Linked DNA regions of Mus musculus. The protein of the gene in region 6 interacts with the protein of the main gene of each other region in a pairwise test. Links are inferred from orthologs where the notes say so. Each region holds a gene or a part of one and is shown on either strand. Other genes may lie near its edges. The genes, in order: Ccser2, Trio, Sfr1, Kif5a, Trim9, Exoc1 and Traf3ip1.

Region 1 (3,500 bases), on a different chromosome or scaffold from region 6:
AAGCTTTGCTGCCTGAAAGCCAGTTAGAATGTTATATATTTATAAACCAATTTGATTTGTGAGTATTTCTATTTCATAACCTAAATAATTACCCTGAGCCATTTTAACCACACCAGTTGCATTTTATTAGCGTGTCTGTATCTAAGTTGCTTGTAATGTTTTATAAAAGAACTATGCATTAATATGTGGTGGCACTTGTAGTTCCCTCTTTCCAGACACAGGGAGATTATTTTCCTATCCCCTTAGTACTTATGTGGGACCACAGACAAACTGATTTTCAAGTGTGAATGAAAACACCAGAGCCACTTGCAGGCCAAATTAGATACTGCAAGGGTGTGACTGACAGTCCTGTCTCCTTCTGTCTTGGTAATAAGGGCTTCAAAGACAAGGTCAAACCCAAAGCCAAAGCAGCTTAGGTCATTATAGGCAGCTGTCCTAGAGAGTCGCCCAGACCTACAAAAGACTTTGTTAAGAATAAAAGCCAAAACCTCCCACTGTATTAAAGGCACACTGGACTGGCGACAGAATGGTAGGTAGTCCATCAGCACAGCCTACCCAGATACTTGGTCCTGGATCAACTGGTCCATCAGTCCACCACTCTTTCTGTAGGAAGCGCATGTTAAGCACCATCCCTGACACCCCTTCACCAAGGGGCACTTCTCAATACAGCAACTAAAAGTGTTGTAGATGTCACGTTCTTAGCTTAACTTAACCAATACACTAATGCCTTTATAATAAATTATGTATGTGTGTATTTGTATGTGTTTGTATAAAGAAATAAAAAGAAATCTCCCAAAGGGTAGAGAAATCCATACATACTATGCTGTTCATTTCAGAGGACTCATAGCTGCCAACAGGATGGACACTCCCAATGGGCTCCAGGCCCTCTTCATCCCACATGTACGTTCCATCAGAGCTATCGGACGGAGAGAGTTCAAATGAAGACCCAGCTCTGTAATCCGTATCCGGTGAAATCAAGTTGTTTCCAGATGTATGCTTTGTACATTCACTCCTGTCTTCAAATGATTTTAAAAGAAAGAAAAAAGCGTGAATTTATAAAACACAGTCATTTCTCATTTCTAAAATATAAGCTCTAATAATCCAATCTATTATAACAGCATTTGGTTCAAAAACTATAACTGTAGCATTTTCCTAAATACTAAATAAACTTTTTTTTGGGGGGGAGGCAAAGTTTTCAAAATAAGCCACTAAAACATTTTGTAATAAACATAAAATTCACTCATTTTTTTACATCTTCACATTCCTTTACTATTTCTTAAGGTATTTATTTCATTTTAACCACTGTTTAGGAAACTCTCTTCCTCTCTACAGACTACTTAATCTCACAGATATGTCCTTAAAAGACAACTTGTTCTAGGCATCTTCCAGTTTATAATGCCTGAAGACAGTTTAGTGCATCACTATGAGTGAGCCAGTCCCTTGACTAGACATGCCTTTGTGCACTCCCTTTGGGCTTCTTTTTCTGGGTAGATGAACAAATGACATTCATCCTGCACTAAGTTCCAATATAGCCAAGTCTAATAGGCATTCACTCTCCCTCCTCGGTACCGTCAGTAAATAATGCTTCAGTGAGTAGTACCACATAAGGACTGCTAAACAGAACTGTTCCCGAGGATAGAAAGCTTTCAACTAAACAGGCTTATGTTATCTGACTTGTGTTTGATATAGCTTGACTCCTAGCAGACTGCAATGATGGCTACGGCGAATGGTGTGGTTTAGCGTTTAGTGGCAAGCCACTCCCAGGCAGAGTTGGGAAAACTGTCTGGAAACCATGGCCTACACAATGCAGGACTTGGCATGTATAAGACAGCTCCCAAAAAGGCAAAGTATAAAGAGTTTAACTGATTCTATCCTAGAAAATAATGCAAGATGGAAACAAGCCGCAAGGTTGCTGCTCTGCTGCGCTCTCCTCCAGCCTGAGCCGCCTCAGTCAAACAGCGTCTTACAGTCTATCAAGGCAAGGCTAAATGTTAGCTCTGCTGTAATCACCAGGGAAAGCACGGAAGTTAAGGATAGCCATATTTACCAGAGACACTTATATCTATCCACTCTTCAGCTTTACTGAAGGCCTGCTCACTTTCCTTAGGAGAATCAAATATATCCTTTGATGGTCTGCTCTCATGCTTTTCTTCTTTGAGAGTCATTTCCTCTGGCGTTATTCTAGTTCTGTTGGAGTCCTCTAAGTCTATGAAATCATCGCTGAAATCTTCACTTAAATCATTCTTGTCGGAAGACGACAAGGACGACAAGGAAATATCATCCACGTCATCGCTCAGGTACCTAACTTTAGACTCGTTCTTCCCAGTCTGGTCATTGTCTCTTCGGTAACTTTCATTTTCAATTAGTTCTTGGTCCTTACCCGGAGAGCTGTCCTGGGCTGAAACCATACCTTCTTCCTCTACGCACATGTCAGCAGGTGGGTTTTTATTACTGTCAACTGTCATGGGCCCAGAAAATGGAGGTCGGCTAGATTTCAGTAGAGGGGGATGAGCCATCCTATAAACCAACGTGGACGAGACAGCGGGGCCATTGGATAAGGCCAGTTTCTTTCCAGCAGCAGCATAAGGCCTATTAAAACCAAACCCCACATGTTCGTTCCCATTGAGTACTTCTGACTGCAGAGAACTTCTTGTTAGCATACCTGACCGGAGAGGCACTCGAACGGGGAGCTGTTGGTTCTGATAAGGCTTTGTAAGGTCTACAGCTCTGTTGAAGGAATGCGATCTGGTTATAGATGAAGGTGGAAGGAAGACATTCTGAATGGAATGTGAAAAACTTTGTGACCTTACCATTTTTTCACAAGTGATAGATTTAGCATTGTCTGGGGACTGTGCTAAGCTTTCTCCAGAACTACTTCTGCTGGCACAGGAGTTCACTCTTGGCTTCTGCACGTTACCAGAAGATCTGTTCCCATAAAACGCATTCAAATGTGACTTCGCATTGACCGAAGAATATGAAGTCCTTCCTAGTAATGTGCCTTTGGTAAATTTACCCAAATTAGATGGTCCAGAGAAAGATTTTTGACTTAACTCCTCTGCCGATGACACAAACATGGTTGATGGTCTTGCTAACTTGGATGTGAACAAGGAAGCACTTTTCAAACCTCCCTTTATCCCATGCCCATCCAGCGTTCCTGGAGCAGGTGCATGTTGTTCAGGCTCAATTAGTTTATCATGTGTACTTTGAATATTATTAAGTTCTGCTGTATTTTGTGAACCAAGTTGATATTTATTTGTTTTTCTCCAATTAAATGAATGGGACAATGAACAATCAGAGCCATTATTTTTTATGTAACTTTTGACATTACTACTCTTGGAGGTCCCTAATAAAGTCACAGTGGCGCCATTTGGCATCGGCTGCAATGTACTTCTCACAGATTTCATTCCATATTTCGGCAGCTTGGAACCCAAAAATGTCTTGATTTGTGTTTTTTCTTCCATGGGCTATAAGGTGCATTGGTTCTTAAAACTTGACAGAAT
Region 2 (2,850 bases), on a different chromosome or scaffold from region 6:
GCCAAACTCTGATCCACCAAGATATTCTCAGGCTAGAATGTAGGAGGAGACACCGTCATTGGCAAACATCCCTAATCCATGCTCAATCTGACCACTGTCAGGATCCTCTGGAGAGGCAGAAGTTAGCCACACAACTGTCACCCAAAGGAAGTTCTTTGGACCAGTGAGGGAACAAGCTGGAGAGGAACAGCCCCCTAGGAGTGGCTCTCAGCTTTAGGGTCCAAATAGCCTAGCTCAACACTGTCTCCTCTTCCCAAGGCACCCTCAAGTGGGTAGATTCCATGCCAACTTGGCAGCACTGACAGGAGCTTCCTAAACATCTCCTGACCCAACAGATTGAACTACCAGTACTTCCTGGTTGAGTTTACTGAAGGCAACTCAGGGAAAGAGAATTTGCCCCAGTGTCCTCCTCTCCCCAGCTGCCTCCAGGCTCAGGCAGGGAGCAAGGCTCTAGCATCCCATGTGACCTATCTAGACCTGTCCTTGCTCAGCCCCGGGCCTGCCAACCTTTAGGTCCAGGTGTGCTATCCTGCAGTTGTGAAGGTATCGGACGGCTTCCAGAACTTCCCCCAGGTGCGCTCTGACCTTCCCTTCGGTGAGGCTTCCCCACCGGACCACACAGTCAAGGAGGCGACCTTGGTCAGCCCTACAAGGTAAGAAGAACAGTTCTCATGATGCCTTTCAAGTCACAGGCCATTTTAGGGAGACATCAACCCCATGGTCTCAGGACTGTACCTCCACTGCATGCCATGGTACAGGGAGGGGGTTCTGGCCCCCTCACTGAGATGATCCAAGTGGGTAATGGCTGGGGGAGAGCTGCAGCCAGGAACTGCAACCCTGTTGTCTGTTGCTATGGCAAGCTGCTGGGCAGTGTCTATGCACGGATGTAGATAACTGCTGGAATAAGGAAGGCATACCCACTTCACTTAGCCTACACCTCCTTCCTGACATATAAAGCACGCCACATGGAGACAGATGAGGTCATGCTGTAAAAAGCCACATGCTAGGGCAATAGATTCATGCTTAGTCAAAGCTACCCTAATCTGAACTAACTTTTAATATTAAAAAAGTACAAAGTTCTAAGCCTAAACTTTAGTAGTGTCTATTCATCCGACCTTGGGTGTGTCATTTTCCTGTTTCAAAGATGAGGAAGCAGAGGCCGAGAAAGCACACACATTTTCTAAGGTTTCATGGCTCATGAACAGCTGTTACTGGGTGGAGACCGCTCTGCACACCCGCTGTTCTCAGAAGAGAAGTTTATAGGAAGACAGACCACCTGCCCAGCAAGGAATGGTCATTACTGAGAAATTTTGACCTGCTCTAGTGAAAATTAATTCTGTTAATAGTCTGATGAGGCTGCACCAGGGTGGTTAGCTGAGAATGTCCTCCATATACTTATATATTTGAATGCCTGCTCTCTAGGAGGTCGAACTGTTTGGTGGAGGATTAGGAGGTGTGGCCTTGTTGGAGGTGTGTCACTGAGGATGGGCACTGAAGTTTCAAAAGCCCACACCACTACCCCTTAGCAGCCCCCCACCTCACCCTTCCTTGTGCTTATGGATCGGACAGATGGAAGTGCTCCATGCTGGCCTGCCTGTCATCATGCTTCCACCTGTGGTGGTCATGGACTCTAACACCATGGAATGGTGAATCATTAAGTTCAATGATTTCTTCTATACAATGTCTTGGTGATGGCGTTTTGCCATGCAATGTAAAAGTTGCCCAGAGATACATTATGCAACTTTCTAATAAAAAGAAATAAGAACAGGGCACCTGGGGGTGTGGCCGGTGATCTGGTCCTTGCCAGGATATATAAGGCACTGGGCCCAACTGTAGATTCACAGTGGATGGTCCAGGAATGTTGAAGGGAATGTGCTTATTTTACAGTTGAAAGAGGTGCCACTTTAGACCAAGGCTGTGGTGACTTCTGACAAGGACGTAAGTGAGTTTACTTGTTCAGAATCCCTGGGGAAGGTGGGCAGTAGCTGCTTGCCATCAAGCTTAGCCAGACAGCCTCCAAGGCATGTGGGCTCAGACGGTGGTGGCTTTCCACACATACTGCACCGTTCTAGCTCCTGACAGTCCGCCAATAGCTGTGCATTTAAAGACATCGAGGATGAGGAGCTGGAGCGATGGCTCCCTCATTAAAAGCACTAGTTATTCTTGCAGGACCCAGGTTTGATTCCCAACACTCAAATGGTTTTGCCGCGACCAGAGTTTCCAAAACAGTAGTCTCTAACGACGAACCTATGTCTGTAGAACTCCTACGAATGCTAAAAGCTCAGAGCCCATTTCTTTTTCTCAGAGAACAATTGGGATCAGCAAAAGTGCCGGGAGCCAAGGTGAGGGAAGGCAGGGAAAAGGAAGGCTGAGTACGCACATTTCCAGAACCAGGACGTAACTGGTGGGGGTCTCGAAGGTGTCAAGAAGGCTCACGAGGAGGGGGTGCTGCAGGTTCTGCAGGATGCCGAGCTCATGAGTGACCTGGTCACGCTTCATCAACTTCTTGTTCACAAACTTTGTGGCCACTGCTCGTTTGGTTCCCTTCTGGTCACATTTCTTAACTACAGCAAACCTGCCCCTGTAAAACCCATCATGAAGAGATTACACGGGGCCATGTCCGTGGGATGGTGACGTCTTTGCTGGGTCGTGTGGAAAGGATATGATGGTTCAGCCATTGCATTGCCATTCCCTCCTCACCCCACCCCTGGCCCCCAACGGCAGCTCCACTTCTGATGCTGGGACCGGTCAGACCCTGGACTTCCTGACTCCTGAATGAGGTGAAAGGGATGGCTCCAGAGAGTCTTGCCCTCACCATGCAGTTTCTACCTTCAGATCCTGGAGAACCTC
Region 3 (4,280 bases), on a different chromosome or scaffold from region 6:
TGTACCGCAAACTTCTTAAAGGTAAAAATATTCAAGTTTAAAGTATTTTCAACATTTTATTCAGTTACATTTAGAAAAGTCCTAAAAATTCAAAATCACATATAAGACATGCTATTCTGTCACTTACTCCAGTTTTGGGATAAAATGAGGTGTTACCTGGGTAAGAACTACAAAGATAATAAATGTCTCCTTCTAGACATCCATGTTCTATTTTACTCAACGTGTGTAAGCTGAAACCTAAAATCTGTTTTCCCAAATAAAATGCCTGACATTTATGCAGGATCGTTACTGAAAGTACAGCACCTTGCATTCTGTGGTCCACTTTTAGTTCTAACACCATCGTGCTCTGTCCCCCTGCATCTTCATGGAACACCTCTCACTTCTCATCTTGCTACTGGCTAGAAATTAAGGCCAAAACGCTCCACCTGTGCATTAAACAAAACCCTAAGCTTTTAAGTTTTACCTCGTGTTGAAGGGGTTCCTCAGCCTCACTCTGAACCAACTACTTCTATTTCAGTCAAAGCTCTTGTAACCCGGGTTTCTGGTTATCTGGCTGATTGTTTATCAAACTAAAATGTATCTCCAATTTAGAAACTACCGCAGTTTATGTAAAAATGATGTAACGGTTCTAAGATTCTTCTCACCTTTATTCTATACATCTTGACTAACTTTAACCTCCGAAGAAGGTCTTCCTTCTCTTCAACCTGCCTAATCAATCTTATTTTTTCTTGTTTTAATTTTTCTCTAATGATCGCATTCTCAGACTCCTTTGGGAGGGCATTAGATGACCCAGTATCCGACGACTTAGATTCACACGTGTTTTTCTCCTCTGAGCTCTTTTCTCCAGGCTCACTGTCTTTGTTTTTCAAGCTTTCTTGGGCCTTTGAACAATTTTCTTCCTTTGAAGATTCTCCTGGTTCTGAAAGGGTCTCATTATTTTCGTCATTCTCTACCTTCATACGCTTCACCACACTACAAAATGAATGAGATGAAGATCTTGCTTTCTTTAACCTTTCTTTAGGTGTTCCACTCAGAGGCTGAAAAAGACACAAACATCAAAAATGTTAAGGATACATTCTTGTAGTAAGTCAATCTATTAAAAATAAAGGCTATATGCTTCTACGATAGGTACAATGGATGGCTTTCTGTTTCCACAAATCTCATGCGAGCATCACCAATGTCTCTAATATCCAGAGGCTACCTATAGTCTTACTTTAGCAAGGTTAACTAAAATAGGACTGAGACACTTCGCCTGCCACTGGCAGCTAGTATTTGCCTGATAATACTAGAAATGCTTCAGAACTATAAACTAAGGAGAAGACCTGCTACCAAAGACTTCCCCCTAAGAAATACTGTACAGATTCAAGTTTCCTTGGTTTGGAGCATCGCAGTAACCTCATAAGAAATTAAACAAAATGAACCGATTCAAGAAGAAAATCTTGGCAGTTAGAAAGGTATGAGCTACATATTAATTCACACTCCAGTAGCCTTAAAACTGGCACTATCAGAATACTCTGGAACAGAACAGATGGGGGTGGGGGATAGAGGACAACACAGATATCCATACTTGTTTTCCTGAACTATTCGAATGGGGTGATGGTGGATTCTCCCTGGGCTGAGGAGCGGCAGGTGAAGTCGGGGGTGATGGTGGATTCTCCCTGGGCTGAGGAGCGGCAGGTGAAGTCGGTGGTGATGGTGGATTCTCCCTGGGCTGAGGAGCGGCAGGTGAAGTCGGTGGTGATGGTGGATTCTCCCTGGTCTGAGGAACGGCAGGTGAAGTCGGTGGTGATGGTGGATTCTCACTGGTCTGAGGAGCGGCAGGTGAAGTCGGTGGTGATGGTGGATTCTCACTGGGCTGAGGAGCATCAGGTGAAGTCGATGCTGAATCTGATGAGTTTTCCATCTTGGAAGTGAACTCCTGATTTCCTTATCAAAAAGAAAAGACGCGAATGATAATCAAATTATCTCAAAACAGACCTCAATTTTTCTGAACAAAATTTTCTTCAGTGAACTAAACACCAAAAATAGTCAGCCATTTCTTCCAATTACATGTAGCTATAATTTATTCTAATTCTTCTCATATTTTCCATTTACCTCTCCACATGGGGAAGTAACCAAGTCCTGTTTCTTTCACGACAAATAAACCAGCTAGTATCTCACTGTCTTTCTTTTTTTCCCTTCAAAACACCCCCAAAAATTTGCGTTTCAGGAAGGGGAACTATAACTAGTCAAGAACTTTAATTTTTGTTATAATTTCGTAAATAAAAGCAATACAGCCTGAATCTTGACTCTTAAAAGCTTTGCGCCTAGAACCAAGAACGAGTCCCGAGGTGTCAGAAAGCAGCATCTGCCCCTTTGGGTTTACTATGGTCAAAGACTCCGCCCTCCTCCCCAGCCCCGTCCATCTTCTCCACAAAGCCCCGCCCACTCTCCCTCCCCCTTTCCCCTCCCTCCTCACCACAGAAAGCCCTCCCCCCGTCCCCGCACCCCACTCAGCTCCCCCTTTCCCCACCCCGTCCCCCCACCACAGAAAGCGCGCTCCCCCCAGCTCCCTTCTCTTCAGCAACCCCGTAGCCCTCCTCCTCCACTCCTCCGCCTCCCTCGCCACAGAAAGCCCTCTATCCCACAGAGCAGGAGGCCGAGCTCCCGCGACGCCGGAGAGAGCTTCTCCGTCAGATACCCAGACACCCGCAGGCCTGCCGCTCAGGCCAACCCCAGGGAGAAAGCTCAGTACCTTCCTCAGCCATGCTCACAGCGGCGACACACCGTACACACAGCCAGCGGAGCGCCCGCAGCCCACTGACCTCGCCCCGGGGGCGGAGCCTCACCGGAGAAGAGACGTACGATTGGCTAGCTTGGCCGGAGCAGGCGGATGTGCTCCGTACAGCTCCGACTGCGCGTGCGCGGCGGGCCGCGGGCCTGGGCCACGGGGCGGAGCGGGGCCTGGCGGGAGGCGGGCGCGGCTCGTGATTGGCAGGGCTGGCCGGCGCGCTCCAGGGCTCGGCTACGCGCGCGCGGCCGCCAGCCGTGGGGTGGCGTCCATGGAAAAAACGATGTTAGGCCCTTGGAGGGGCCTGAGGGGGGCGCGCTTCCGCTCGCCACTGCCTTTGGGAGTTGCGGTGCCAGCTGCCTTCCCGAGCAGCTTCCCTGGTGGGGTTGGGGGCGGGGTGGGTATCGTCAGGGTGGCGCGCCCGAGAGCACCGCCCTCTGGCAGCGCTCGCCCCCTGGCAGGCTCGGCTTTCCCCACCGCAAAGGCTTTTCCTCAGACGTGGCAGGGCCGGAAACCGCGGGGCCCGCTCGGCTCCCTGCTGGCTCGGAGTCTATGTGGGTGTCTCTGCATAAACAGTAGAGGGCATCCCCAGCCTGCCTTGCGGACTCGCCCCCTTATTTTGGTCTGTGCCCACCTCTGCTTGGCTTCACATGTTTTGGTCAAATCTGAGAAAAAAATAACCTAAGGAAGTGTATTATGGCGCAGAACAGGAAGCGGGGCGCGGTCGATCCGACAGGTTCGGACTAGAATTCAGATATTTGAGAACTAAACCCCTTGCTTGATCCTGCCCCCCCCCCCCCGAGGCCCCTTGCTAGACCCTGGCTCGACTCCTGGGGGTGCCCCTTGCTAGACTCTGGGGGGCCCCCGGGAGGCCCCTTGCTAGACCCTGGCTCGACTCCCGGGATGCCCCCTTGCTAGGCTCTGGGGGCCCCCAGGAGGCCCCTTGCTAGACTCTGGGAGGCTGCACGGCCTTCTAGTGTTCAGGATGTTCTGTTGCTATGCAACAGCAAAATGAACTAGCTTGGGTGGAGCCGTGGGTGTAGAGAAGTTGAGCTAACTTGTGAGTCACTGGGAAGTTTGTAATAAGGGACAGCTCTCTTTCCGAATATCTGCTAATAGTGGCTTTAAAGTAACCCGAAAGAACTGATTAGACTCCTAGGCGGTCAGTTAATAAATACAGAACCTAAAGGAACTTAATGAGGTGATTAGATCTGCAGATGTTGCAATTGCCTAGATTAGAGTCCTGGCACCACGGTTTCTTCTTTGGTTTGTTTTTGTTTTGTGCAATGGAGTGTAGTGTGGCCGTGGACCTCAGTTCGATGGCTTGGTAAATGAGAACAATATTCACCTCCTAGAGACAGGGAAATTCAATGATAATGTATGAGAGGCAGCTAGAATCATGCAAAACACCAAAGGAACATTTAGTCAAGCATATTCGTCATTCCCTAATTGACTTAAAGCAATGTCTCACAAGCTTTTATCCCTTACCTTTCCCAAAAGCACGGATTTT
Region 4 (3,500 bases), on a different chromosome or scaffold from region 6:
CGAGTGGACACGAGCAGCTTCGGAGAAGAGGCAGGGTATTCGAGACCGCGCACTGTCTGTGTGCGCGAAGTTCCAACACCCCAACCCGGCACACGCTTGGAGTACACGTCAAGGGGCAGAGAGCTCCAGGCTTCGTTAACCGGAATGGAAAAGCACGGGGCTCTGTCACCTGGACTTAAGAGCAACCCGGCTGGTCATTACGTCTGTTTTAGATAAAGCTTCATGTACCCAAGGTTTGTAGCCAAGAATGGCCTGCACTTCTATCCTGATCACAAGTGTGCACCAGATGCCAGGTCTATGCCACCGCCACTGTTTTATGCTCTGCTAGGGACCAACCCCAGGGCTTCATGCATGGCACGCTCACACACTACCAACAGAGCTGCATCGTCAGCAGCTCTGGCCCTGGGTTAAAGGAGTGTTGCTTGATTGGCAGGGATGGAGACCATCCCTCACTCTGACCGTTACCTCTTCCTGGTCCAGCATCTGCTGCTTCAGCTTCTCAATGAGCTGGCTCTGCTGGTTGATCTCATCATCCTGTCAGAGATGAGAGGGGATGTGAGCGGCTACTTCTCCCAGTTTAGGGTGCTGGGATGGGAGGGAGAAGCCAGAACCCCTAAAATCCCGAGTCGGAAAGCTCACACATAGAAAGGAGGCCTTTGCCCTGTTTCCCTAGGGGGTGGCAGCACCCTTTCAGTCTGTCTGGGACAACCTTGACACCACACAGCTAAAGTTTACACATCCATACCCTCTGGCCTGGATCTCTCCTATTACCACTCCCATATAGCCAAATCATTTAAAAGCAGAAAAATCAAAATAGGGCTGGAGAGATGGCTTTGTGGTTAAGAGCACTGACTGCTCTGCCAGAGGTCCTGAGTTCAATTCCCAGCAACCACATGGTGGCTCACAACCATCTGTAATAGGATCCGATGCCCTCTTCTGGTGTGTTTGAAGACAGCAATGGTATACTTACATAAATAAATCTTTTTTAAAAAGTTATTTAAAAAAAAAGAAAGAAAGAAAAAACAAATTAAAACTTTAAAACTTGTGGGTATTTTATTTTATTTTGGTTTTTTGAGACAGGGTTTCTCTGTGTAGGCCTGTCTGTCCTGGAACTCACTCTGTAGACCAGGCTGGCCTCAAACTCAGAATCCACCTGCCTCTGCCTCCCAAGTGCCAGGATTAAAGGCATGCACCACCATTAAATATTAAGTGTTGCCCAGCTTGTGGGTACTTTCTGAGACAGAGTCTCGTGTAGCTAAGGCTGGTCTCACAATGTGGCTGCAAATAACCTGCAACTCTTGATCCCCCTGCCTCAACCAAATAAATAAATACAGACAAGTGGAACCTTGGCCAGGATCATGGTGTGTATATGTGTTAAGACTCAGTCTCACCATGTAGCCCAGGCTGGCCTAGAACTATGTATCCCAGGTTGGCCTCAAATTCCCAATCTTCCTACCTCAACCTTCTAGGTGCTGGGATTATAGGTAGGAACAGCACACCTGCATCATCATATGATGTGTGTGTAAATCTTTTAAAATATTTTAATTTTATTATTTTATGTGTATGGGTATTTCTTGTGCGTATGTGTCTGTGTACCCATGTGTGCCTGTTGCCTGCAGATCCAGAAGAGAGCATCAGATCCCCTGAAACTGGAATTACAGATGGTTGCTAGTGCCATGTAGGTGCTGGGAGTCCAACCCAGGTCCTCTGGGAAAGCAGCCAGTGTTCTTAACCGCCAAGCCGTCTCTCCAGCCGGAAAGCTTATGCATAATAACCAAATCCACTTTGGAAAATGGACTGGATATCTATTTGAATTTTTTTTTCCAGACAGGGTGTCCAGGCTGGCCTCAAACTTCTTATGTATCTGAGGATTGCCTTGAGCTAGCTCCCAGTGCTAGGATTACAGGCGTGTGCCCCCATGTAATGTGCCTGGCATTACACGCTGCTGGAGACTGAACCAAAGCTTTGTGCATTCCAGGCAGGCACTCCACCAAGTGAACTAGCTCCAAACAGACATGTTTATGAAGAACTGTTAATGGGGCGGAAAACCACTTGTAATGTAATGCTACCTAAAAGACTGGAGTCCATCAGGGTGGCCGCACTGGTAACCCCAGCACCAAGGAGGCTGAGGCAGGAGAATCAAGAGTTTGAGGCTCACCTAAAATGTGAGACCATCTAAAAGAAAGCTACTAGGTGCAAATGACTCCAACTGTATATATACCTCAGCTGCACGATACCCGAAGAGGGGTTAAACATTAAGTGTTGTCTCTACGTGATAATGACCAGTATTTTTCATGTTCTTTTATTTTTAAAACTCACTTTCCACATCATAATGGTTGTACAAACCAACTTTTAGACCAGCTACAGTGTGCGTGGACTTGAGTGGTGTGCGCACAGGGAAGTCAGAAGCACTTGTGGGCGTCACTTCTCTCCTCTCACCAAGTGGGACCCTGGATGCAACTCAGGTCATCAGGCCTGGCAGCAAATGCCTGTTCCTGCTGTCTCACTGGCCCAAACTCTGTGACCTCGCATGTCAGCCTTCAGCTCCCTACACAATGCGAACTCACCTTGTCATCAAGCTGCTTGTAGAGACGGCGGATCTCTTCCTCATATTTCTGCCTTTCCTCAGGTGCGATGCGTACCACAATGGATGAGTTGTCATTCACAGGGGTCTCCTCGCAGAGCTCAGCTCCCAGAGCTGAGTCCTCTCCAGCCAGGCGCTCAGTCTCAGGCACATTCTCTCCTGACAGACGGACAGGAGAGGAAAGACCGTGTGGATGTTAAAATCATCAACCCCACAGTATCTAGCAACAGTATCTAGCGTCACCTATGCGACAAACCTCTGGATGTCTAAGAGGGAGTTTCCAGACTGAGTTAGTTCAAGTGAGCAGATCCACCTTAAATGTGGGCAGCACTGTGTAGATCCACCTTAAATGTGGGCAGCACCAGGCAGATCCACCTTAAATGTGGACAGCACCAGGCAGATCCACCTTAAATGTGGGCAGCTTCCTGACTGCAGCTGCCTCTTGCTCCTGCCACCACACCTTTCCCTGTACTCTCAGACTGTGAGCCAGCGTAGACACTTTCATCCCTGAATTGCTATAGCTAGGTGTCATGCCACAGCAACAGGGCAAGTGGCCTGAGTCCACCCTGGCAACTCCCCAGAGCCAGGATCTCCAGGCCCTCAGGCTCCGTTCCCACAGCCTTGCTTCCAGAGGTTGCTGGCCTTAAACACTCCTAGACAGGGCTGTCCCGAAGCCACTGTCCCTCACTCCCATAGGATCCCGCTCTAACCATTGCGCCACCGGCTAAGCTCAGCCTCTAGCTTCGCAATTGTCTCCTTCTGGGCCTTGGTCTTCTCCTTCTCCTTCTCATACTTCTTCTTCCACTGCTCAGCAGTCAGCTCCAGATTCACTGAGGCAGTGTTCTTGATGGTCTTCGCCCTGAGCAGAGAGAAAAACAAAGGTGAGACTCCAGGCAGTCCTTGGTGATATGGTGTG
Region 5 (3,500 bases), on a different chromosome or scaffold from region 6:
ACGTTCAAGTCATACAGATCTACAGCTGGGAAGAATCTAAGTTCCAGCCCCGGCAGGAGCAAGCAAGAGCTATAAAGACACGGAGAATCATGTGGGCAAAAGCAGCCACCGGGGTGGCTTGGTGGAGAAGGGGAGCCTGCTCTAGAGCCTAGGAACCTCCATCTTAGACACCGGGGGCACATTCAGGCTTGCACGTTCAGCTTCTTCCACTGTAGCTTAGAGTGGTAGCAAAGGAAGCCATTGGAACTGCTGCTGTGGGGTCTCTCATCCGCATCTCACGGGGCCTTCTAAAGGCAGGAGAGGGACACAGCGGCTCTGGGGCCGGAGACAGTGCAAGTCATGGAAAAAACTTGAGGGATGTGGTACTGACGGGGTTACCTCCAGGCTGCCAGCCACGTTAGACGCCACGTAGTTCCCGCTCTGAGGGATACTGCTGAAGGGCCTTACCCTCAGACGTCTGGAGGACCAGTGTCTTGCTGTAGGGGCTGACTCCTGTTTTGTTGAAGGCCTTAACCCGAGCGTTGTATGTGCTGTTGAAGTGAAGGCCGTCCACTGTGCACATTGTTTCTTTTCCAACATACACTTCCTGCCAACAGAAAACAGAACACCATTCAAGGTGAGCCGCCTCGTGAGGAACAGGGAAGGAAGTGATGCCCAGTGGTTAGGTGGCAGATGCCATGCAGGAAGAGCTGCAGAGGGCAAGTGAGCTCGCTGGAGAGACGGCCCACAGCCTTGCTCCGCTGGGATACTGTTGGCCGAAATGTCCCAGGCTTGTCACATGAATAGCATTTGTGGGCCACGCCTACCTGATTAAAATTTTCTTTTCTTTGATTAGTAAGACACTGGAGTAGTGGTCTGACCTTGTAAGGCGGCTGCAATGGCCACACCTTGAAGATATGAAGGAGCAGCCTCAGCACATTAATAAAATAAAAAAAATATTTTCAGATATTTTTAATGTCCTTAGAAGAGATTGACAAGTGGGTGTAGCATTCTCAAAGGTCAGTTGTTTTAAAACAGTATGTTTTGACTCAGAGTTAGGATCCATTCTTTCTACTGCCTCTGTCAGCCGAGCAGTAAACGCCTCAAAAGGTTCCACCAATTTCGTTACATATTAGCAGAGCCTTTGGTATTTGTGCCTCCCATAGACAGGCACCTCTATGCTTCCGGGACTGCAGCTGACTCTTTTCTTTTCTTTCTTTTTCTTTTCTTTTTTCTTTCTTTTTCTTTTCTTTTTTCTTTCTTTTTCTTTTCTTTTTTCTTTCTTTTTCTTTTCTTTTTTCTTTCTTTTTCTTTTCTTTTCTTTTTTTTTTTTTTTTTTTTTGGTTTTTCGAGACAGGGTTTCTCTGTATAGCCCTGGCTATCTTGGAACTCACTCTGTAGACCAGGCTGGCCTCGAACTCAGAAATCCACCTGCCTCTGCCTCCCAAGTGCTGGGATTAAATGCTTTCGCCACTACCGCCCAGCTAGACACTTTCATTAGAGCTTTCTTAGTCAACCTTAGCTGAGCTGCTGAGCCATTCCTCTGCACCCACAAACATTTCGTATGCTAACTCTTGCCCCTCTTTTTTCCAGATATCTTAGACAACTCTTTAGGAGCCAAGGTCTCATATATAGCCATCCACAGTAAAAAAAAAAAAAAAAAAAAAAAAAAAAAACTTCACCTAGGCAGGCTTTAGCTACCTGAAACCAATAATGAAGGGTCATAAGTAGTTTAATTGGCAGGGATTCCCACGAGGGATCCTTATTTCCTTCATTGTTCTTATAATCACCAGGAAAGTAAGTTAGGAACACAGTTTTGGTATCTGCCTAATCCAGACCTGAATCTATGAGTTGTTGGGCTGCTCACTTTATTGCGTACAGCCTCAGTTACCTAATCCATAAAACGGAGACATTAATACCTGTTTTTCAAGATGGGCATGAGGGCAATCTGACTTTATATATGTAGTTATTATAGTTTAAAAGGGCTCAGTAGCTTAACCGTGACCAGCAGCTAGGATTTAAAAGGCCGTAATTGGGAGTTTGTGGCCAAGGTTATGCTTATACTTGGTGTTTATAGAGAATGTAACACCTTTATCCATCAGTGTGGCTTATAAAATGCATTTTTGAAAAACATAAAAACATGAGGGTAGTCTATAAGCTGTGTTTCCAACCGACACAAGGATTAGCCTCAAAGCCAGCCATAGGCATGGAGGTTTGCACCACAGTATGGCGGGTAGGGGGAGGAAGGCAGAATGACATTTCAGAGGCTTAAAATAAAGCCTCGCATAATGCACTTTCCAAGCAGGCTGGGGACTTGCTTCCCTCCTCAGCCCTACTCTTTGCAAAGGCATGCCTGATGTAATGAGTAAAAGCATCGACATTTCAAAACACAGCTCTTTGCTGTGGTCCTGGATTAGCCATGGACTAACTCAGTCCTGCTGCAGCAGGTAGGGAAACCTGCATGTGACACTATTCCATTCAGAGATTCTGAACATTTGTGCACGTGAATCACCTATGAATCGTACCACAATACAGTTTTTGTTCCTGCAGGTCCCTGAGGTAGGGTCTGAGATTTTGCATTTTTTTAACAAGTCCCAGGATGAAGCCAGTGCTGAGTGACCCCTTCTTATGGTGGCCATGGATTAAGTAGAAGGGACCATCTGAGAGCCTCAGTTGACTAGAAGGGGCCAGGAGCTGACTTCATTTAATCCTGAGCCCTAAGGAGAGAGGAGGCAGCTGGAGCTCTGAGTTTGAGTGTAATGTCTGTGAAAGGGCAGCTGGAAAAGAAATTTAGCTGTGAGAAAATGAGTGGCTTAGTTTAAACGTTAAGTTTAGGCTAGTTTCAAAGTGTCAAAGTGGAAAATTCTCCACAGGTAGAAATCCGGCCGACTATCAGAAAAGATATGGAGCTGAAGACAGATAGGGAAGTTCTCAGCATGAGTGGTGGTAAGGCAGGTGGCAGGAGAACGAGAGATCTTGGAAAGGCAATAACCTGAGGTGATAACCAGACATGATGAAAGAAGAAGCGATTTCAGGGAATGAGGAAAACAAGGACAAAAGAAAAAAGAAAGAAAAGAAAACAAACAAACAAACAAACAAACCCAATAATAAGAAAAGAAAGGCCAAGAAAAGGAAACAAGAGATGGGAGAGAGTCTTGAGGAGAACTGTAGAAGACACCTCCTATTGAAAGTACGTATATCTAACAGAAGAAAACCAGTCAGGAGGTGGCAGCCTTCATAGTCTTTGCTCTTGGAAGCTAGTGGGCCCTTGGCTAGTGACTGGAAGAAAATCTCATCTTGTGGGGTTTATGGCTTGCTTTGCACAGGTTCTCCTCTTCAGCAGGGCTGACATGGGCTTCAGTACCCAGAATGATGCTCCTTTAGGGGGTCCCAGCATGGGAGCTTCCAGGAGTGAAAGTGCAGAAAGACTGGGTGGGGTAAGTAGAAGGCAATCCGTGAGTGTAAGAGAGGAAGAAAGCTCTCTCTGTCTCTGTCTCTCTGTCAGTGTGTGTGTGTGTGTG
Region 6 (3,500 bases):
ATTCCACCAATGGGTGAAGCTGTCTGGTCAGTGAACTCCAGGGATCTGCCTGTCTCTGCTTCCCCACTGCTTGCTATGTGAGCTCTAGAAATTAAACAAGATTGGACTTGTGTCCTCCACGTACTAGGAAACACTTTACCAACAGAGCTGTTTCCTCAGCTCTGTAATGAATAATTTTTAGTATATTTATTGGTTATTTGTACTTGTGTGTGTGTGCTTGCATATTTGTATATATGGGTAGTATCTTGTGTGTGTGTGTGTGTGTGTGTGTGTATATATATATATACTGGTTTCTCTGATTTTATTTCCAAACTTGAAGCCCCATGCTTTTATGTTGTAGATGATTAATATATTTATGTATTAAGAATGTATCGTTCAAGTCATAAATGGAACACTTTATGAGGGAGGGCAGTGGTTTTGAGAATTATTCTAAATGTTTTTCAGCTGAGAAAAGATGACAGCAATCAAGCATGCGCTGCAGAGAGATATCTTCACACCAAATGATGAACGCCTGCTGAGCATCGTGAATGTCTGCAAAGCTGGCAAGAAGAAGAAGAACTGTTTTCTGTGTGCCACAGGTAGGTGGTTATTAAGCAAAAATATGTACTTGATACCTTCCTTAGGTCATACTCTCATTGTTTCTATAACTGGGAGAGTTATTGGGCTGATAAGTTAATTTTAATTGTTAATATTGATTGCTGGATGCTGTAAGAGAATTTTTATAGTGTATGTCTAAGGTGGCTGACAAGGGAAAAGGAGGACTCCGGGTGCGCAGTGTAGGGTGACAACAGCTCTTCTTTACCCCATTCCTTTCTGCTCTCCAGTGGTCAGTGTCTGGGATCCTGCATCTTACCACATTCCCCATGTGTAATTTCCATTTACTTGTCTTTAAACGTTTAATAAATTGAATTAAAATTCCTTGTGACCCTTCCCATTCAGCAGTAGATTCATGAGAATTTCGTTTTATTCTGGAGTTTTTATTGTTTTGTTTTTGAGACATGATTTCACTCTGTATTTCCAGCTGGCCTGGAGTTTATATTGCTCCACCCGCCTACGCAGTCTGCTAGCACAGCTGGCCATGAGTTGAATCTGTTCTTACACAAGGCTCTAACACCATCATAGTCACTGCCATGGCAAGCTCCGCTGTGAGTGTCCCATGGTCCCCATACCCACCCCACCAGGGTGAGCAGTAGGTTTGTGCCTGAGCTTTGCTGTTTAAACAACTCGTCTGTGAATGTGTTTGTGCTTGTCTTGTGCTTACACACCAAAATTATTTTAAGGCAGATTCTTGGATGTGGATTCTGCTCTAATATGCAGTTATTTTTAAAAGGGATGCTTTTCATTCCCACAGCAGTGTGGTTGGTTACCTTGTGTTCTCTACACCCTAATCAACAGTTGCTTCTGACAGACTAGTTGTCAGGATGGCAGCGTGACATAGTATCTGCCTGTGGTTTTGAAATGCACTTTCCTGATTAATGATGGGGTTGAGTGTCCTCTGTGAAGTGACTGGCCGTTTACTTGAGTAATGTATGGTTTCCTATTGGATTGATGGTCATTACCCAGATTTGTATAGTTGTTCTTAATTATGATTATCTGGGTAGGTATTATAAGATAGATCTATTAGCTGCATAGATATTTCTATTATGTGGTTGTATACTTTCTGTTTTGTGGCTTATCTTTACACTTTTTGTGGTTACTCTTAATGAAATTTAATTATCATTAAATAAAATTACTTTGATGCTTTATGGTTTTTACTGCATTATTTTGTAAAGGTTTTGATTCACTTGTGTCTTAGAGAGTGTTGTGTATTTGTATCTGTCTGTCTGTCTGTGTGTGAATGAATGAGCACATGTTTGTATTTCACGATTTTTTTTCTTAAATCTCATTTTGTTTTACTTTGTTCTTTACTCTTTCATCTTAATTTTAGAATCAACTTCTTAAGTTCCAGATTCTGTTGTGTTTTGATTGGGATTGTTTTTAAGCTATCTTTTAAGTTGTAGGGAACTTGCATTTTTATTAATGATGATTATGCCCATAAACATGTTTATTTTCTGCTTTTATAAGCCTTGCTGTTTTCTTTAAAAGTTTCTTCCTTTGGTCTGTGTGTTGTTACCAGTTATAATGTAACTTGATGAAACAAAATGGTACGTTTTATAAATGCCCTGTTTGCCAGTATACTGGTTTAAAATTTTGCATTCATGTTCCTCATTTATGTGTAGTTTTCTTCTCGATACCTTCGGCTGGTTAGCCATAGTTATTAAATAAGCCAGTACATGCCCCTGGTGTCCTCACTAGAATAGTTGTGTGTTTGGAGTTATTCTCTTCTTGCAAACTTGGCAGGAGAAGCAGGTAGCAGTGCTGGACTAGTGTGGGAGGTGGGGTGACGGCACAGTTTTGCCCAGCAAGTGTAGTTTAGTGCGTATCTTCCCCAAATATTCTTTAGTCCAGTGGTTCTCAACCTTCCTAGTGCTGCTACCCTTTAACACAGTTCCTCATGCTGTGGTGACCCCAAACATAACATTTTTGTTGCTGCTTCATAGCTGTAATTTTGTTTTCTGTAATATCTGTTTTCAGATGGTCTTAGGTGGCCCCTGTGAAAAGGCCTTTCAGCCCCCAGGTTGTGGACCTCTGCTTTAGTCCATTTGGGTATATTAAAATTTCTAAGAGAGTATTTGGGGGTTTGTTGTTTGTTTGTTCATTGTTGTTTGGAAAGCCATTTGCTTTTCAAATGTATCAGCATTTATTTCAAATCTAAACTCCATTCTTACGCCAGAGTTGTATTTTGGAACCTAGAGCCTGTAATTTCTCCAATAGCATCCCTTGCTGCCTCCGCTGGAGCCCTCGAAGAGCTGAGCATCCACCCTTTGTGGTAACTTCATTCCTATCCACCGCATATTACGCCGTGCTGTCTGTGTTGAATACTTCCTGTTGCTCTTCGTGAAGGCATTAGGCTCTTTCAGGACTCTCAGACTTATGCATATCAGTCACTAGATCTCTGTTCTTACACTCTGTAAGAGAGGCCTGAAGCTTTACCTCTCGGGCATCTCTCAGCCTCCAGCTCTCTAGTCTGGTTTAGATGCTTCCTTTAGGACTCTGTAACGGCCTCGGCTGACTTTTCACAAAGCATTGCCTTACTTCAGTGTTGCCGTCCAGGTTCCCAAGAGCCACATTTAGAGTGTGTGCAGGAAGAATGAGTCGGGGACTGATAGGCTAACAGTCGTGTCTGTGTGCTTTGTTCAACAGTGACCACTGAACGCCCCGTGCAGGTGAAGGTGGTCAAAGTCAAGAAATCCGACAAGGGAGATTTCTACAAAAGGCAGATTGCTTGGGCCCTGCGAGACCTTGCTGTGGTCGACGCCAAAGATGCCATCAAAGTAAGTTTTCCACAGTCCTTTGCTTGTGTTCAGGAAGAGTCTTTCTTGTTCCATAGAGCAGTGTGTGTCCTGAGATGGTCTAAGCTTGTTCTGTGGCTGCAGGTCTGCCCCCTGCTAGTCTAAAAT
Region 7 (3,500 bases), on a different chromosome or scaffold from region 6:
TTTCCCAGACCCACAGAGCTCAATAAAGGTACCCCCAGATCAACAACAGAAGAGCCAGCCAGACAAAACCATAAGGAGACCTCAGTAAACCGGACGTCACTTGACTGTGGTGGCCATTCCTTTGAAACAAAACCATCCCTTGCACTTGGTTCTTATGTAAACCGCCCTCTCTGGAACTGCCTTTCTCTGTGAACCATTCACAGCATCAGCAGCTCCAGTGAGCACGTCGTGGAGAGGCTTGCTCTGGAGTCAGACCTGAGGAAGGCTGTCCCTATGAGGGACTGCCTCAGAGCTAAAATACACCAGAATACACTAGTGCCTCTAAAAACACAGCTCAAGGAAAACTATTTTCTTAGGCCACTAAAAAGAGGCAATGATAAGATATAGATGATTCCCAAAACTCAGGAAGGAACCCAGGTTACTGTGACACAGGTACATTATGACCCTGAGGACAATACCCTGGGATGTGTTGGGGAGGTTAAAATGTGACTTAAATAGCAAACACCCAAGTGCCCGGCAGAATGCTAAACACAACTACCAATGAGACCACAGCAATCTTACTGCACCATGCCACAGACAAGAAGTGACAGAATGCCAACATGGCTGAACCTACAGAGCCCACTCCTCTTGCTAACAACCACACTGAGATGCAACCCACAGCAAGATACTGCCACAGACGGGCTTAGAACCAGCCCAGATCTTGACTGTCCTCTGGCCAGCAGCTGCAGATCAGGTAGCTCTCAGTCCCCTCTAGGATGCTCTGTACATACAGGTTATCTGGAAAAGGAGTCGGGACCTAGGATGGCTGATCTCCACTGGGCTCTAGAGTTACCTGGAAAAGGGACCTCTGGACATGCAATGAGGATTATCTAGACTTAACAGAACTGGGAAGACATACCAACTATGGCGGGCAGTGCTTCATGGGCTGGGGTCCCAGAAAGAGAATGAATGAAGGAAAAGGTGAGCTGCTTTTCAACCAAGTCTCTAGGGCGTGCTGTCATGTCCTCTCTACTAGAGCAGACTAGACCCTGGCACTACAAGCCAAAGGAAAACCTTCCTGGAAACTGTTTCTTGTCAGGGATTTGTCACAGCAATGGGAAAAGTGACTGGTGTGCAACCCATACACAGGGCTGGTCCCAAAGTCACCAGACTAAGGAAGCAATGAGAAAGAAGCCAAAGGAATCCCTGGCCAACCTTAATTTTACCTGAAATGCCATTGTGCAGGAATTACAGGAAAATAAGTCTTCTGACACTTAGAATGTGTTAAGACCTTTGAAAGTAGCTCTAATTCTTACTAAGCTCAGTCCTGTCCAGGCTCCGAGGAGCCCACACATACAGCTGATGCCAGCTGTGTACATGGGATAGGACACATGCACAAATGACAGCAGGTGAAGGGCCTTTGAATGATCTAGCAAGACAGAGCAAGGCACCAATGACAGCTCCTGCTCCCAGCTACTTTCTCTACAGGCCTGGCAGGGAACTGTCAACCTCTGAGGACAGAAGACATCTGACAGCAGTATTTACCTGGCCTCCTCTCTGGAATTGTCTTCTAGCACTCCAAACACTTCATAGCTACTACCAACTGATCAACACCATCCAAAGACCTGAGACCTGAAACGCCACCATCCTTTGCCTGGATGTTTGGTTCTCTGTTTCATCTAATGTCTACTGCATACCTTCTATGTGCCAGTTCTCTATTAGGCCAGGAACTCAAGAGTGAACATAAGTACCACCCAGAGTGTGTGCTTAGGGATATTTTAAATATGTTTGAAAACTGACTGAAGAATACTGAGTTAAATGGTTGTGCTACTATTAGTAAGTGACAAAAACATTGGAAGTTTTTAAGAACTGGGCCAATGAGATGGTTCAGTAAGTAATAGCATTTTTCATGCAAACCCAGCAATTTGAGTTTAATCTTCAGAATGTAGCCTAAAGGCTAGGAGAGAACCAACTCTGGCCTCCGTACTGTGGCATGCACATACACACATCTATACATACTTCATGTACACACATGTAACAACAATTATAGTATAAATAAATAAGTTTTTTCAAACAGACACCTGGCAAGAAACTGGTACCTCTTTGGATTATGTCAAGAAATCAAACACAGCCACAGTTCACAATTCCAAGTTTTCCAAAGCCTATTATAAGGATGACAGATGTCCTGGCTGGTTTTGTGTGTCAACTTGGCACAAGTTAGAGTCATCAGAGAGGAATGAGCCTCAGTTGAGAACATGCCTCCATGAGACCCAGCTATAAGACATTTTTTCAATTAGTGATCAATGCTGGAGGGCCCAGCCCATTGTAGGCAGTGGTCTCCCTGGGCACCTGGGTTCTATAAGAAAGCAGACTGGCCAGGCATGGTGGCCCACGCCTTTAATCCCAGCACTCAGGAGGCAGAGGCAGGCACAGGCGGATTTCTGAGTTCGAGGCCAGACTGGTCTACAAAGTGAGTTCCAGGACAGCCAGGGCTACGCAGAGAAATCATGTCTCAAAAAACCAAAATAAAGAAGAAAAAAAAAAAAAAAAGCAGACTGAGGGAGCCATGGGAAGCAAGCCAGTAAGCAGCATCCTTCCATGGTCTCTGCATCAGTTCCTGCCCTGCTTAAGTTCCTGTCCTAACTTCCCCCAATGATGGACTATGATCTGGAAATGTAAGCCAAATAAACTCTTTTGTCCTCAACTTGCATTTTGGTCATGGTGTTTCATCAGAGCAACAGAAACCCTAAGTAAGACAACAGGTTCAGGAGCTGGAGAGAGAGCGCTGTGGTTGAGAGTCCCTGCTAACTCCTGTAAAGCAGAGTTCAGTTCTCGGCACCCCACATCAGGCAAGTCATAATCACCTGTGTGTCTCTAGCACACATGACATACATTTGCACATACACACAAATAGAGAAAAATTAAAAATAAAAAGTATTTTAAAAAGCAAAGGCAGGGCAGATGCTGTTTTACAGAGCACAGCACACTCTCCATGAACAGGCATCGGAGCTAGAGGGATGGCTCAGGGTTAGGAGTACTGGCTGCTCCTGCAGAGAGCCTGGGCTCGGTTCCCAGCATCCACACAGTAGCTCAGGACCTCCTCTAACCCCAGCACCAGAGGATGGATGTGAAGCTCTCTTCTAGCCCCCAGGGCCTCCTGCACATACATGGTGCACGCACATTCATTCAAGCACACACATAAACATAAGAATAATGAATAAATAAATCTGAAAGAAGAAAAGGGCGTCTTGATAGTGACCATGCCTTTTTCTCTGGCTTGTCTGCATCTCTGCTTTTCTCCCTGTCAGGATCCCGGGTATGTTCTCCATTCTTCGATTTCCGCCGTTCCCGGTCTCTTCCCTTGTCACGGTCTCGGTCTCGGTCCTTCACCCTCTCTTTTTCTTTCCCGCCCTCGCTCCTCCTGTCCCTCTCCCTGTCCCTTTCTGCCTCTCTGTCCCGGTCTCTGTTGTTTCTGTCCCTGTCCTTGGCCCGTGCTCGGGCTTTCTCTCGCTCTCCGTCTC

What was found.
Region 1: the proteins of Exoc1 (region 6) and Ccser2 interact in a two-hybrid assay, tested with the Homo sapiens proteins (2 studies listed by BioGRID and IntAct). The link is inferred for Mus musculus from reciprocal best matches to the Homo sapiens genes EXOC1 and CCSER2.
Region 2: the proteins of Exoc1 (region 6) and Trio interact in a two-hybrid assay, tested with the Homo sapiens proteins (2 studies listed by BioGRID and IntAct). The link is inferred for Mus musculus from reciprocal best matches to the Homo sapiens genes EXOC1 and TRIO.
Region 3: the proteins of Exoc1 (region 6) and Sfr1 interact in a two-hybrid assay, tested with the Homo sapiens proteins (2 studies listed by BioGRID and IntAct). The link is inferred for Mus musculus from reciprocal best matches to the Homo sapiens genes EXOC1 and SFR1.
Region 4: the proteins of Exoc1 (region 6) and Kif5a interact in a two-hybrid assay, tested with the Homo sapiens proteins (2 studies listed by BioGRID and IntAct). The link is inferred for Mus musculus from reciprocal best matches to the Homo sapiens genes EXOC1 and KIF5A.
Region 5: the proteins of Exoc1 (region 6) and Trim9 interact in a two-hybrid assay, tested with the Homo sapiens proteins (2 studies listed by BioGRID and IntAct). The link is inferred for Mus musculus from reciprocal best matches to the Homo sapiens genes EXOC1 and TRIM9.
Region 7: the proteins of Exoc1 (region 6) and Traf3ip1 interact in a two-hybrid assay, tested with the Homo sapiens proteins (2 studies listed by BioGRID and IntAct). The link is inferred for Mus musculus from reciprocal best matches to the Homo sapiens genes EXOC1 and TRAF3IP1.

The regions. Positions count from the first base shown.
Region 1 is NC_000080.6:36,937,765-36,941,264, forward strand, and holds part of Ccser2 (serine-rich coiled-coil domain-containing protein 2), read right to left. Parts: 5' UTR 3,462-3,500; coding exon 2,048-3,461; intron 1,017-2,047; coding exon 820-1,016; intron 1-819. UniProt on the Homo sapiens protein: Microtubule-binding protein which might play a role in microtubule bundling.
Region 2 is NC_000081.6:27,732,999-27,735,848, forward strand, and holds part of Trio (triple functional domain protein), read right to left. Parts: intron 2,582-2,850; coding exon 2,381-2,581; intron 647-2,380; coding exon 508-646; intron 33-507; coding exon 1-32. UniProt on the Homo sapiens protein: Guanine nucleotide exchange factor (GEF) for RHOA and RAC1 GTPases. Involved in coordinating actin remodeling, which is necessary for cell migration and growth. Plays a key role in the regulation of neurite outgrowth and lamellipodia formation.
Region 3 is NC_000085.6:47,730,276-47,734,555, reverse strand, and holds the start of Sfr1 (swi5-dependent recombination DNA repair protein 1 homolog), read right to left. Parts: upstream 2,801-4,280; 5' UTR 2,748-2,800; coding exon 2,735-2,747; intron 1,927-2,734; coding exon 1,568-1,926; intron 1,038-1,567; coding exon 645-1,037; intron 1-644. UniProt on the Homo sapiens protein: Component of the SWI5-SFR1 complex, a complex required for double-strand break repair via homologous recombination. Acts as a transcriptional modulator for ESR1.
Region 4 is NC_000076.6:127,239,364-127,242,863, forward strand, and holds part of Kif5a (kinesin heavy chain), read right to left. Parts: intron 3,444-3,500; coding exon 3,295-3,443; intron 2,744-3,294; coding exon 2,568-2,743; intron 535-2,567; coding exon 466-534; intron 18-465; coding exon 1-17. UniProt on the Homo sapiens protein: Microtubule-dependent motor required for slow axonal transport of neurofilament proteins (NFH, NFM and NFL). Can induce formation of neurite-like membrane protrusions in non-neuronal cells in a ZFYVE27-dependent manner.
Region 5 is NC_000078.6:70,267,615-70,271,114, forward strand, and holds part of Trim9 (E3 ubiquitin-protein ligase TRIM9), read right to left. Parts: intron 587-3,500; coding exon 448-586; intron 1-447. UniProt on the Homo sapiens protein: E3 ubiquitin-protein ligase which ubiquitinates itself in cooperation with an E2 enzyme UBE2D2/UBC4 and serves as a targeting signal for proteasomal degradation.
Region 6 is NC_000071.6:76,532,311-76,535,810, forward strand, and holds part of Exoc1 (exocyst complex component 1), read left to right. Parts: intron 1-444; 5' UTR 445-454; coding exon 455-578; intron 579-3,243; coding exon 3,244-3,374; intron 3,375-3,500.
Region 7 is NC_000067.6:91,501,168-91,504,667, reverse strand, and holds part of Traf3ip1 (TRAF3-interacting protein 1), read right to left. Parts: coding exon 3,244-3,500; intron 1-3,243.